Linked DNA regions of Rattus norvegicus. The protein of the gene in region 3 purifies or fractionates together with the protein of the main gene of each other region. This does not show direct contact. Links are inferred from orthologs where the notes say so. Each region holds a gene or a part of one and is shown on either strand. Other genes may lie near its edges. The genes, in order: Cdc37, Mob2 and Stk38l.

Region 1 (3,288 bases), on a different chromosome or scaffold from region 3:
TACTCTTTCCAACAGTAGAATCCTCAGGACTGGAGAAAAGGCTCCGTGTTGCAGAGGACACCGATTTCACTCCAGGGAGCCACATGGTGGACTTAGAGTCATCTGTAACTACAATTCTACAAGACTCTAGCCTCTGCATGTACTAGATGCACATATAGAATACTCATACACAAAAATTAAATCTTAAGCCAGGAGTGCTTTTGATCCCAACACTCAGGACAGGTCATAGAGGCAGGCAGATCTTTGAGTTTGAGGCCAGCCTGGGCTATATATTGTGTTCTCAGACAGCCAAAGGTACACAGAAAACACACAAGGGCATCCACGCACACACACATACAAATTAAATTTTAGAATAGTATGTTCCCCTAGCAGTGGCAAAGTCCAGTGTGAAAGGCTGCATATTTCTCATGTAGCCTAGGCTACCCTCAAACTCCTATCTGTCCTCTTGTCTCCATGGAGTGCTGGGGCTGAGGGAGGAAAAGAACTGGGAGAGGCTGAGATAGACAAGGAGTTGGAGAGACACAGAAGGCCTAGGACTTCTGAACAGTGAAGGACAGGGCAAGGGCATGGCTGTTAGCACTCTGGTTCTCCCCACCTAGGTTCACCCTCTGCCTCAAACAGCACTGAGCCAGTGGCTTCCAGCACCTGGAACTGTTTATTGGACATTGTTGCCAGTTGCAGGACAGAAAGCTAGACAGAAGAGAAACAGTGACCATAGACCCATAGGGACAGACCCTGCCCAGATGGGGACATGTGTATCCCCAACCCGGTGGACCAACCTGGCAGCTGCTGCCCCTCCCCAGACCCCCAGGACTTTGGCATAACGCTGATGGGGGTGGGGGGGCTGCAGACAGCAGAGCCCCTCAACCCGAAGCAGAGAATCTGATGAGTGCTGGGGACAGGCCGGAGGAGAGGGGACATGGGGCAGGCCATGGGCCAGGACGTGAGGAGCAGCAGAAGTGAAGAAGTCGGGAGCTAGGGACATGGTGGCTGGGTTTCCTTTTCTGGAGAAGGGTCACGCACTGATGTCTTTCTCGTTGCCCGCTTTGGGGACGGCTTCCAGCAATGGGTCCCCGGGGCCCGCCTCCTCCCCCTCCTTGGCCTCACCAGACTTGGAGTTGGGGACCCAGAGGCCAGAATCGATGCAACGCTGCATGTGATACTTGGCATCCTGTGGAGAAAGGACAGCAGGTGAGGCTGTGCCAGCGCCATGGTGCCCCACAGTCCCTACGCCTCCTTCAAGGCTGCTCAGCCCCCTTCTACCCTCAGCTGTCTAAAGAACTGGTGTGTGATTCAGCAGTGAAGCTCGCCTAAGGTTCTGAGACTCTTCCATTTCAGCACCAGAGAAGCAGATATGGTGGTACACACTTGTGATCCCACCACTTAGGAAGTAGAGGCAGGAGGGTCAGGAGTTCAAGGTCATCGTCAGCTTGGGCTACATGAGTCTCTGTCTCAAAACACACACACACACACACACACACACACACACACACACACACACACAAGGGGTGGTGACAGTTCTGGTTCAGCAGTTGAGTACATCCCCTCAAATCATGAGACCCAGAGATTATATTCCAGCACCAAAGTAACAATCAGGATATCCTGAGGGTATCAGGGAACAGAGGCAGGTCTATCTGTGAGCCTAGTTTACAAAGTGAGATCCTATCTCAGAAAAAAGAAGGGAAGGGGGCAATAAATTAAAAAAATTTTAAGCAAACTGGTGTTCTGGCTGCCAGTGTATGCATGTGTGTGTGTGTGTGTGTGTGTGTGTGTGTGTGTGTGTGTGTGTGTGTGTGTGTCAGATCCTAGAATTGAACCTGGGTTGGAAGAGCAGCCCATGCTCTTAATGACTCTTCAGGCCTTCATCTGGGGCTTGGTGACTGGCCTCACTGTATGCCAGGCCTCACCATGTTAGTAGACAATGACCTTGAACTCATTCCGATCCCTGTAGGTGTGTACACCTCTACTGGGTTTAGTCTCTGCTGGTGACTGAACACAGCATCCTGCATGCAGACCAGGGTGCAGCTCTGCACTGCAGCCTGTCCTACCCAGCAAACTTTTCTTAAGGGCCACACAGTGTCTGCCATATAGTGTCTGGTCACAGTGACTCTGAGTTTATAGCAGAAAATCAATCATAAGTGATGCAAAAAAAAGTTTAGGGACAGCATTTCAATTACGGTCACTCCATAAAGGTTAAGTGGTGAGCTGCCCACTGGGCTTTGCAGACTCCCTTCCAGATGTGCATTCCCACGGGAGGTCGTAGAGTCTCTACTACTGTGGCTAAAGGAGAAGCTGGTGACAGAATTGGCAACAAATCAAGTTTGTTAAAATTCAAACCTGAGTTGGATGCATGGCAGTGATGAGAGGCCCTGCCTAGAATCCCCCAGTGAGGGGTACAGACGTGGCTTAGCAGCTAAGCTTGAAGCGTTGGGTTATATTCCCAGTCACCAAAAAGGAAGAATAAAAGAAAGACAAAAAGAAAAGAAGAGAAGCTCAAGTTTCACTCCTCATGCTGCTGCTTTTGGAGCGCTGGACCTCCCTTTCCTTAGAGAGGCTCAGGAGGGACACTATCTTTCGTTTTTAGAACCACAGCCACACACATAGCTGCCACTGAGTGACACCCTGTCCTTGTCATTCTCAGACAGTTTCGTTGAGTTGCTCTGGCTCATCTCAACTAAGCCTGGCCTTGAACTTACAACCCTGTCTTAGTCTCTGGAGATGACAGGGATGAACTCCCTACTCTGCTGTCCGCTACAGAGACTGGGGACTCACAGTAGGATCCATCTTGCTGATGGCGTCTTGCAGCATCTGTACATCCTTCACATCAAAGCACTTCTGCAGCTCCTGGGTACAGAGAGGCCAGGGTGAGGGCCTGGGCTTGGGATGGGGGGCAATTAAGGGGGGGCGGGGCAGAGGAGCAGCAATGCCCACACATCACCCTCCTCCCTACTGGGCCCTGGAGAGCCACACCTCAGGCAGAGATTCGTAGACCTCCACAGGGTCCAGGCCACCAGGGCCTAGCCTCTTCTTGCGCTCCTCCTCCTCGTACTCCTTCATGGCCTTCTCTATTCGCAGCTTGGCGCGGCCCCGCACACGCTCCTTAAAGGCCTCCAGTTCATACTTGAAGCCCTCCATGTACTGCTGGTCAGCAGTCTGTGGAAGAGGACGGGTGTATTCACTACATGGTTGACAGCCAGGTGCTTAGGGGGCGAGGCCCCTGCAGCAGCTCTTGGAGGCTCCCTGAAGCTTTTCCTGAACTCCACCATGGGTACCTCAAGGCTTGGCCTT
Region 2 (4,416 bases), on a different chromosome or scaffold from region 3:
AGGTTTCATCTCCTACCTGCACTGGAGAGATCTAAAGGCTCCACAAGAGTCAGGTACTGTGGCTCCTGAAAGGGAGCCACAGTGGCAGGCTGGAGAGAGACTACTGGAGAGAGCAGAGGTTTAGTAAAGGTGGCCAGGCAGAAAGGACAATTCACTATCATCAATGGGAAGAGGAGAAAATGTATTCTTTTGACTCCAAGGGGCTTCTGGATTGTGCTTTCTGCTAGATAAAATTCAAACTACACTCAGACCTCCTGGTTAAATGCTTGCCCCAGAAAAGACTCAAGTGTTGCTTAAAGTATCCCACAGCATGTTGAGGTTCCCTCTTCCAAATTCTGAGCAGCTTCCCCTTGGATGTTACCCTGCTCTTGGTTGTCCAGAACAGAACAAAGACCTACTATGCAAAAGTTGTAACACTTTCTAATAAAGAATGAAGGCGGTCTGACTATATACACTGTTTAACAGCCAGCTCAAAGCTTCTCCTACAGGACAAGAGGTGGCTAAGAGCCACGCCTACAACATTCTCCAGAAAAGTCCCAGCAGGTTTACCACCAAGTCCCAACGTGCCAAACTCTGCTATGGTTATCCCAAGCATGCTTCCCTGCAGGGCCTCCCTTCCTCCTGAGCAGCTGGAACACAGAAGATAAGGCAGGAGATGCTCAAAGCCCCAGCGTGGTCCTCACCCAGCTAAGGGTAAGGTGCAGCTTTTCATTTACACCTTTGTAGGCCTCTCTTCTGGCTCATGCCACACTGGGTTCACCCAACATGAAGAAGGTTAACAGAACCTTCAGTGTAACATAAGCAAGCAAACAAACAAACAAACAAACCTTGAAGCATGAGCACTACATTCCAAACTCCTCCTTGATATTGAATGGTCTGAATTAAGAAAAAGATGATATGTTTATCCAATTCTTCCAGGCAAAAAAGTACTTAAATGGTTAACTGCAGATAAAGTTTCAGTCCTGAGCAAACAGTGGGTACTCTGAAGTAAAAAAATGGCTTCACTTCCTACTGACCACCTTGCCAGCTTTCACAGGGGATCAGAAGACAAAGTGGAGTATATCTGGTGGGGAGGAGGGGAGGTGTCTCTGAAGGCTCACTCTGCAACTTCCATTCGTCCTACTTTTATAAGAATACTATGAAAGATGAATGAGGAATATTGGGGCAGCTTGTCTTTATCTTCCAAAGATACCAAGGAGGAACTACACCTGATCACTGAACAAAAGAGAATTTTAGGCAAGGAACTGTTTAAAGAATTCATGACTACCAATATTCAACATGTAGCATGTGACACTTAAGAACACAAACACAAAGACAATTAATTACCCTGCAGCCAGATCCCTCTTTAAAAATCTCTACTGCCCTTTGTAACTACAACTATTTTTTACGGTGAATCAGATTATTTCCTCCTTTCCAAAGGTCCCAGAAGCAGAAGTATCTCTCAGCTATACTCTAGGGCCTGGAATGACCCCCATCTTAGAGTGAGAGATAAGGGTTCTGCTGCCCTTTCCCACAGAGCTCCTTGTTACCAGGGCTTTGACAAGGGTCACAAGAACCAGGGCCTCCAAAGGCTGACGATGGTTAATATCTGCATATTTGCAATGATGATTCAGTCCACAAAAGACAGTCCTCAGTCAGTTTAAAGACTAGCTTCTGGTCAGTCTCCAGGCAAGAAGCACCTGCCACTGATGGGCATGGGCCTGTAAAAATTACACATACAGCAGTGGGCAGTTTCTTCAGTCACCAAGCTGACAGATCCAGTTCTCTTGCACTGAAACCATATTTGCAGGTAGGCCAAGTATAGTCAGTGCTGGCCCTCTCCACAAATGCACAAAGGAAGAATGATTTGGAATAGGCTGGATACAGATATGTGTCCTACACTTAAAACCTCTGGACTTCAGAGACCTTGTAAATGATCAGGACATATCATCTGCCAAGCTTACCATATGCAAAACATGTGTGGCCCTTACCTCAGTTAACCCTTCAGTAAACCTGTTCTGCGGATTTCACAGCTTCCATCTGACAGGCAATCCTTTAAAGCAAGTCTAGAGAGGACCACACAGCTAGGAAGCAGAGAGGAGCCAGTGACAGTGCTGCTTCTTGAAGAAATCAGATGGGTCCTCCGCCTGGTCCTCCTGTGTCACTCACACTTAGCACCCTAAGTGGCACTATGTGGCTCCCAGCCACCCTTAGTCTCCTGTTTATCCCTGTGGCTGCTCCTTTAGTCTGCCCTCTCCTTAGGTTGCAGCACTGGGAGGTCAAAACCCATCTCCATCGCCTCAGACGTCCTGACAGTACCACCACTACACTTTCCTCCGCCTTCCCCGGCTTCCATCTCCAGAGTCCCGTGCAGCTCTCGCACTCCCGAATCCGAAGGCCGGCATCTCTGTGGCCAAGTAGGATTATACTGACCCAACAGCAGGGCCGCGGGCACCGCCACAGAGTAGAGAACCGAGACGCGGGGGAGCGCGCGGCTAGGAGCGCCCGCCTCTCACTCTCCTCAAAAGTAAATTGGAAGAAAGTCACTTGGGCGGAAGAACTTTCGCAGGCCCCGCGAAGACCGGGTGCCCGACTCGCAGCCCGTCAATCCGCGGCGAGGGACTGCGGCCTCTCGGGACAGCGCCTCGGGGACCGGGCCTCGCTCCCGCCGGCCGGCCGGCCGCCCGCCCGCCCGCCTGCCCGGCCTCCCGGTACTCCGCAGCGGCTGGCTGTCTTCCCGAGCCCCGGCCCCTCCTGGAACCCGCCGCCCGCCGCCCTACGCTCCCTACGTTAGCCGCCGCCCGCGCAGCGCCGCGCTACGCCGGCCGCCGCCACTCACCCCATGAGCCAGTCCATGGCTGCGCGGAGCCCGCGCCTCGCTCGGCCTCAGCCCCGCCGGCGGCCGGAAGTAAACACTCGATGGCTCCCGCCCGCTGCCGGAAGTGACGCGCGCACGGCTTGCTGGGACGCGTAGTCCCAGCGGCCCCTGCGGCGATGTCCCGGTACCTGTCCTGGAGTACCAGGACCTAGCCCTATTGCAAACCTCGGGGCTCCGGGACCCAGGAGCATCCTGTACCTGAAGACTGTCCGGAGTTTCTGGATTCCCAGAGTGAGAATAACTTCAGAGCGTCCCAGAAACCCAGACGCCGGGAACTTCGGAGTGCCTCGGACTCGCAAAGTGCCTGTAATAACACAGTGCCCTGGATCCTGGAGTGTCCCACCCCAGTGTTTCACACCTCGAGTGCCAGGACTTCAGAGTGCCCTAACCCCAGGAGTAAACCTTACCCCCAGAGTGCCTGAATCTGCGGAATGCCAGCTCCGTGGGAGTCTGAAGTTCCTAGTACCTGAGTATCCCTGACCCCAGTATCCCAGACCTGGGATTACCCAGACTCAGAAGTGCCTGGAACCAAGAGTGGCCCCAACTCTATATCCCGGATCTGGGAATACCCAGAACCCCCAGGCTGGAACATCGGAGTGTCTCTGACCAGCAGGATGCACTCTTTCTCTGCATTGTCTCTCCTCTTGTTTACATCCCTCATGTTGTCCACCTTAAACCTGTTGTCATCTTTTGCCCACACCTAGTGCCTCTACCAGGATTCTTCTTAACACACTGCCTCTTCTGAGTCCTCCTCCCTTTGCTGGCTGTTCATTTGCATCCCAGCTGCCCACTGCTGTGGACATGGTTGAGCCCCCTTCTGTTCCCTTTCTCTATAAGCTGTACTCTCTAGCTCCTGGGTGACCCTCTGTTATCTAGGGTACTTCTCTCCAGTGAGTACTTCTCTCTCTTCATGATCCAGGGTATCTATCCTATTGTCTGCTCTTTCCAGAGCCTGACCAATACTAGGAACTCATTGAATACTTTTGAAAGGCTGACTCTCCATTCTCTTCACTGGAGATATGCTTCCAGGAGCACACATTTGAGCAGAGGAATCACAGCAACCTAACTGATTTGTGTCTTCAGTGGGGTGTCATGAATAGCAGGCACCAGACAGATAACATCTTCAGGACATCTGCCTGCTGTAATATACTTGAAGTTGTCATATACTTGAAATGGGGTTCACCCTTCCCAAAAGAACCATTCCAGGATAATGGGAAATGTCCAGTCCATTCCTTCTTTATAGCATGAACTGCCATGCACCCGGAGAGGTGAGGTGACAGTTTTATTACAAAAACAAAAACAAAAAACAAAAAAAAATAACTTGAGGTGAAACTGAATAATGAAAGACCTGGGGAGGGAAAAGTCACCAAATCAAGATATATTGGGAGGAGAAAATCAGGTCTGTGCTCTCCTCCATTTCTATTCCCATGGATGCCCATAGTCATACTGGATGACTCCCCCACCCCATAACCACTTTGTTTTAGTCAACCATCAGCTGGTTGCCTTGCAATGTAGCCTTGTCCACTGCTTCCAAGGAGCATCCATCTTTGGCGAGCCAG
Region 3 (2,747 bases):
CACTCAGGAGCAGAAGCAGGCAGATCTTTGAGTTTGAGGCTAGCCTGGTCTGCAGAATGAGTTCCAGGATAGCCTGGGCTACACAGTGAAACCCAAACAACAATAAAAATGAAACCAAAAGCCAACAACAACTCCTCAAAAACAAAACAAAAAACCTTTTAAATTATATTTATTTACTTATTTATTAAGTGTATAGACACACACACACCCCACAACACACAACACACACCATATCACAAGTGTAGAGGTCAGAGGACCACATTCAGGAGTTGATTCTCTTCTTCTACCTTGAGGGACCCAGGAACTGAACTCAGATTATCTGTCTTTTCAGATAACGGCACCTTATCAGCCTTTTTAAATTTTATTTTAATATTTCTTTAAACAAACAAAAAAAAACATTTATTTACTCTGTAGAGAGTGTTCTGCCTACATGTATCCTACACACCAGAAGGGGACACCAGATCCCATCACAGATGGTTGTGAGCCACCATGTGGTTGCTGGGAATTGAACTCAGGACCTCTGGAAGAGCAGCCAGTGCTCTTAACCTCTGAGGCCCTCTCCAGCCCTGAGGCAGGCATTTCAGTTTTTCAGCAAACATCTAAAGGATCTATTGGGTGCTGAGGTGCAAGTCATGAGAAGCCTGTGCCGGCCATGCTTGTGCACAGCCCCAGGTGAGGGGACAGCGAGTGAGCGGCAGGTCTGGACTTCCTGCCCTGCCACAGTGAGTTTAGGCTCTGCTCTGCTGTGCGACTGCTTCCATAGTCACTGTGCTGTGTCTAGAAACTCTAGCTTGTCCCCGTGGGCAAGACACTGACAGCAGTGCCAGGAGAAGATGAGCGTTTACAGGACAGTCTCATGAATGTACTGGCACACAGTGGGAAGTACTAGACACGCAGTGTGACCTCCAGGGAAGACACTGAGCAGCTGCAGAGGCAGTGACTTCTCAGAAGCAGCGGCACTGCCTCTCGTGCTCAGTCTCAGGGGTTCTCAACCTTCCCAGTGCTGTGACCTTTAGTACAGTTTCTCATGTGGTGGTGACCCCATCCATAAAATTATTTTTGTTGCTACTTTGTAACTGTAATTTTGCTACTGTTAGGAATCATAATGGAAATATCTGCGTTTTACGATGGTCTTAGGTGACCACTGTGAAAGGGTCATTTAATTCACAGAGGGGTTGCAACCAACAGGTTGAGAATCATGAGTCTAGAAGGAACAGAAGTGCAGTAACCACCAAATCCAGAAGCTGGTGTTTGTCAGCTCAGGCTGCAGAACATACCTTATGTGCCCCCAGTCCACACCCTCAAAGAACGGATGACCTTTGATCTCTTCCACACCACCATTCCCAATTCTGTTTTCAGAATCAGTACAAAATCTAGAAAGGAAAACCAATTATCAGGCACATTTTTCATCTCAAACACTCTAGTAGTTATTACTTCGAATGTTTTTATAAAGCGTTTCAATTTAGATATTGAAGCTACTATGGGAAATACAGAGAAAATACAAGTTACCCATAAACCTATCCTTTAGAGATAACCAGTAAACATTCTGTAGCTACTTTTCATCTTATAATATTAATGTAATAACAAAATTAATACAATAATAAAATGTAAAATATTGTATTAACACAATAACCGTTACTTTAAGACTTTTTCTTCATTGATTATACTAGAAAATTTTGTAATGCTGCTCAGTATTTTCCCGTGAAGTAACTTTATACAGAGATATCAGATTGATCCATCCACTGCTACCACTGAAGACTTCTATAAGTTTCAATTTTTCACAACTAAAATAAATAAGAAACATACCTAACTCTTTACCCCTACACAGTTAAATGTCCAATTAAATTCCTTGAAATGAAACTGCTAGGTCAAAGGTCATGTACAGCTTAACGATTTTATACAGCATGCTGCCAGCTGTCTGCTCTCAAGGGTCGTCTCAATTCACGCTCCTCCAGCACTGGTGAGGCAGTCTTCTGCCTGAGTTCCTGTGCACTCTATGGCAAGAGCTTCTGACACATTTACTCTCCTTTCCTATCTGACGTACTGAGTCCTTGTAGTTGAACATGAGTAAGTGACACTTTGCTGATCCTATTACCAGGATATCCAACAAGATCTCCTCTCTCTCTTCTGAACACCGTTTTCCTACAAGTCTTTAAAGTGTTTGCCTTTTGCGAGTCTGGGGAAATCAGCAGTCGAGAACACTTAGGGTGGCTCACAACTGTCTGTAACTCCAGCTCCAAGGGGTCTTCTAGCCTCCATGGGCAAGTGGTACCCACACACACACAAGTAAAAATAAATAAAATCTTTTTTAAAGATCAAATTTTGTAAAAACCTTTCTTTATACTGACCTCCCTGACTAATCGAATCAGTGGTATTTTTCCTCCCAAGACTTTCCCTGCCTCAGAGACCCTGACCATTCATGCACTTGTCAAGGTTTAAGAGCCACTGACCTGAGAATCAAGTCCTTGGCTTTCTCAGAGACGGGCACCTCTGGAGGAAATGCCAGCGTCTCCTTCCAGCTCATAACTTTCCTGTACGTTTCTTGAGGTGTCTCGGAGCAGAAAGGTGGAAAGCCTGGGCACCAGAGATCAACAATTTATCAGCGCTGGGACAATTCAAGCAGACCACAGTATGTGCCACAAGAAAGGAAACAGCACTCATGCGCCAGCTCACCATACAGTTACTCAGGAGGTCCACAGGGATAAAACCCACTCCATTTTATCTGAGCCCTGCATTTCCAACCTGAT

What was found.
Region 1: the proteins of Stk38l (region 3) and Cdc37 purify together in Homo sapiens (affinity purification with mass spectrometry; 3 studies listed by BioGRID and IntAct, with this or other methods). This does not show direct contact. The link is inferred for Rattus norvegicus from reciprocal best matches to the Homo sapiens genes STK38L and CDC37.
Region 2: the proteins of Stk38l (region 3) and Mob2 purify together in Homo sapiens (affinity purification with mass spectrometry; 9 studies listed by BioGRID and IntAct, counting the BioPlex papers as one, with this or other methods). This does not show direct contact. The link is inferred for Rattus norvegicus from reciprocal best matches to the Homo sapiens genes STK38L and MOB2.

The regions. Positions count from the first base shown.
Region 1 is NC_086026.1:27,953,656-27,956,943, forward strand, and holds the end of Cdc37 (hsp90 co-chaperone Cdc37), read right to left. Parts: intron 3,154-3,288; coding exon 2,971-3,153; intron 2,845-2,970; coding exon 2,773-2,844; intron 1,172-2,772; coding exon 1,016-1,171; 3' UTR 639-1,015; downstream 1-638. UniProt on the Homo sapiens protein: Co-chaperone that binds to numerous kinases and promotes their interaction with the Hsp90 complex, resulting in stabilization and promotion of their activity. Inhibits HSP90AA1 ATPase activity.
Region 2 is NC_086019.1:206,576,573-206,580,988, forward strand, and holds the start of Mob2 (MOB kinase activator 2), read right to left. Parts: upstream 2,878-4,416; 5' UTR 2,836-2,877; coding exon 2,819-2,835; intron 2,378-2,818; exon of another isoform or gene 1,971-2,377; intron 1-1,970. UniProt on the Homo sapiens protein: Stimulates the autophosphorylation and kinase activity of STK38 and STK38L.
Region 3 is NC_086022.1:181,416,891-181,419,637, reverse strand, and holds part of Stk38l (serine/threonine-protein kinase 38-like), read right to left. Parts: intron 2,575-2,747; coding exon 2,451-2,574; intron 1,374-2,450; coding exon 1,278-1,373; intron 1-1,277. UniProt on the Homo sapiens protein: Involved in the regulation of structural processes in differentiating and mature neuronal cells.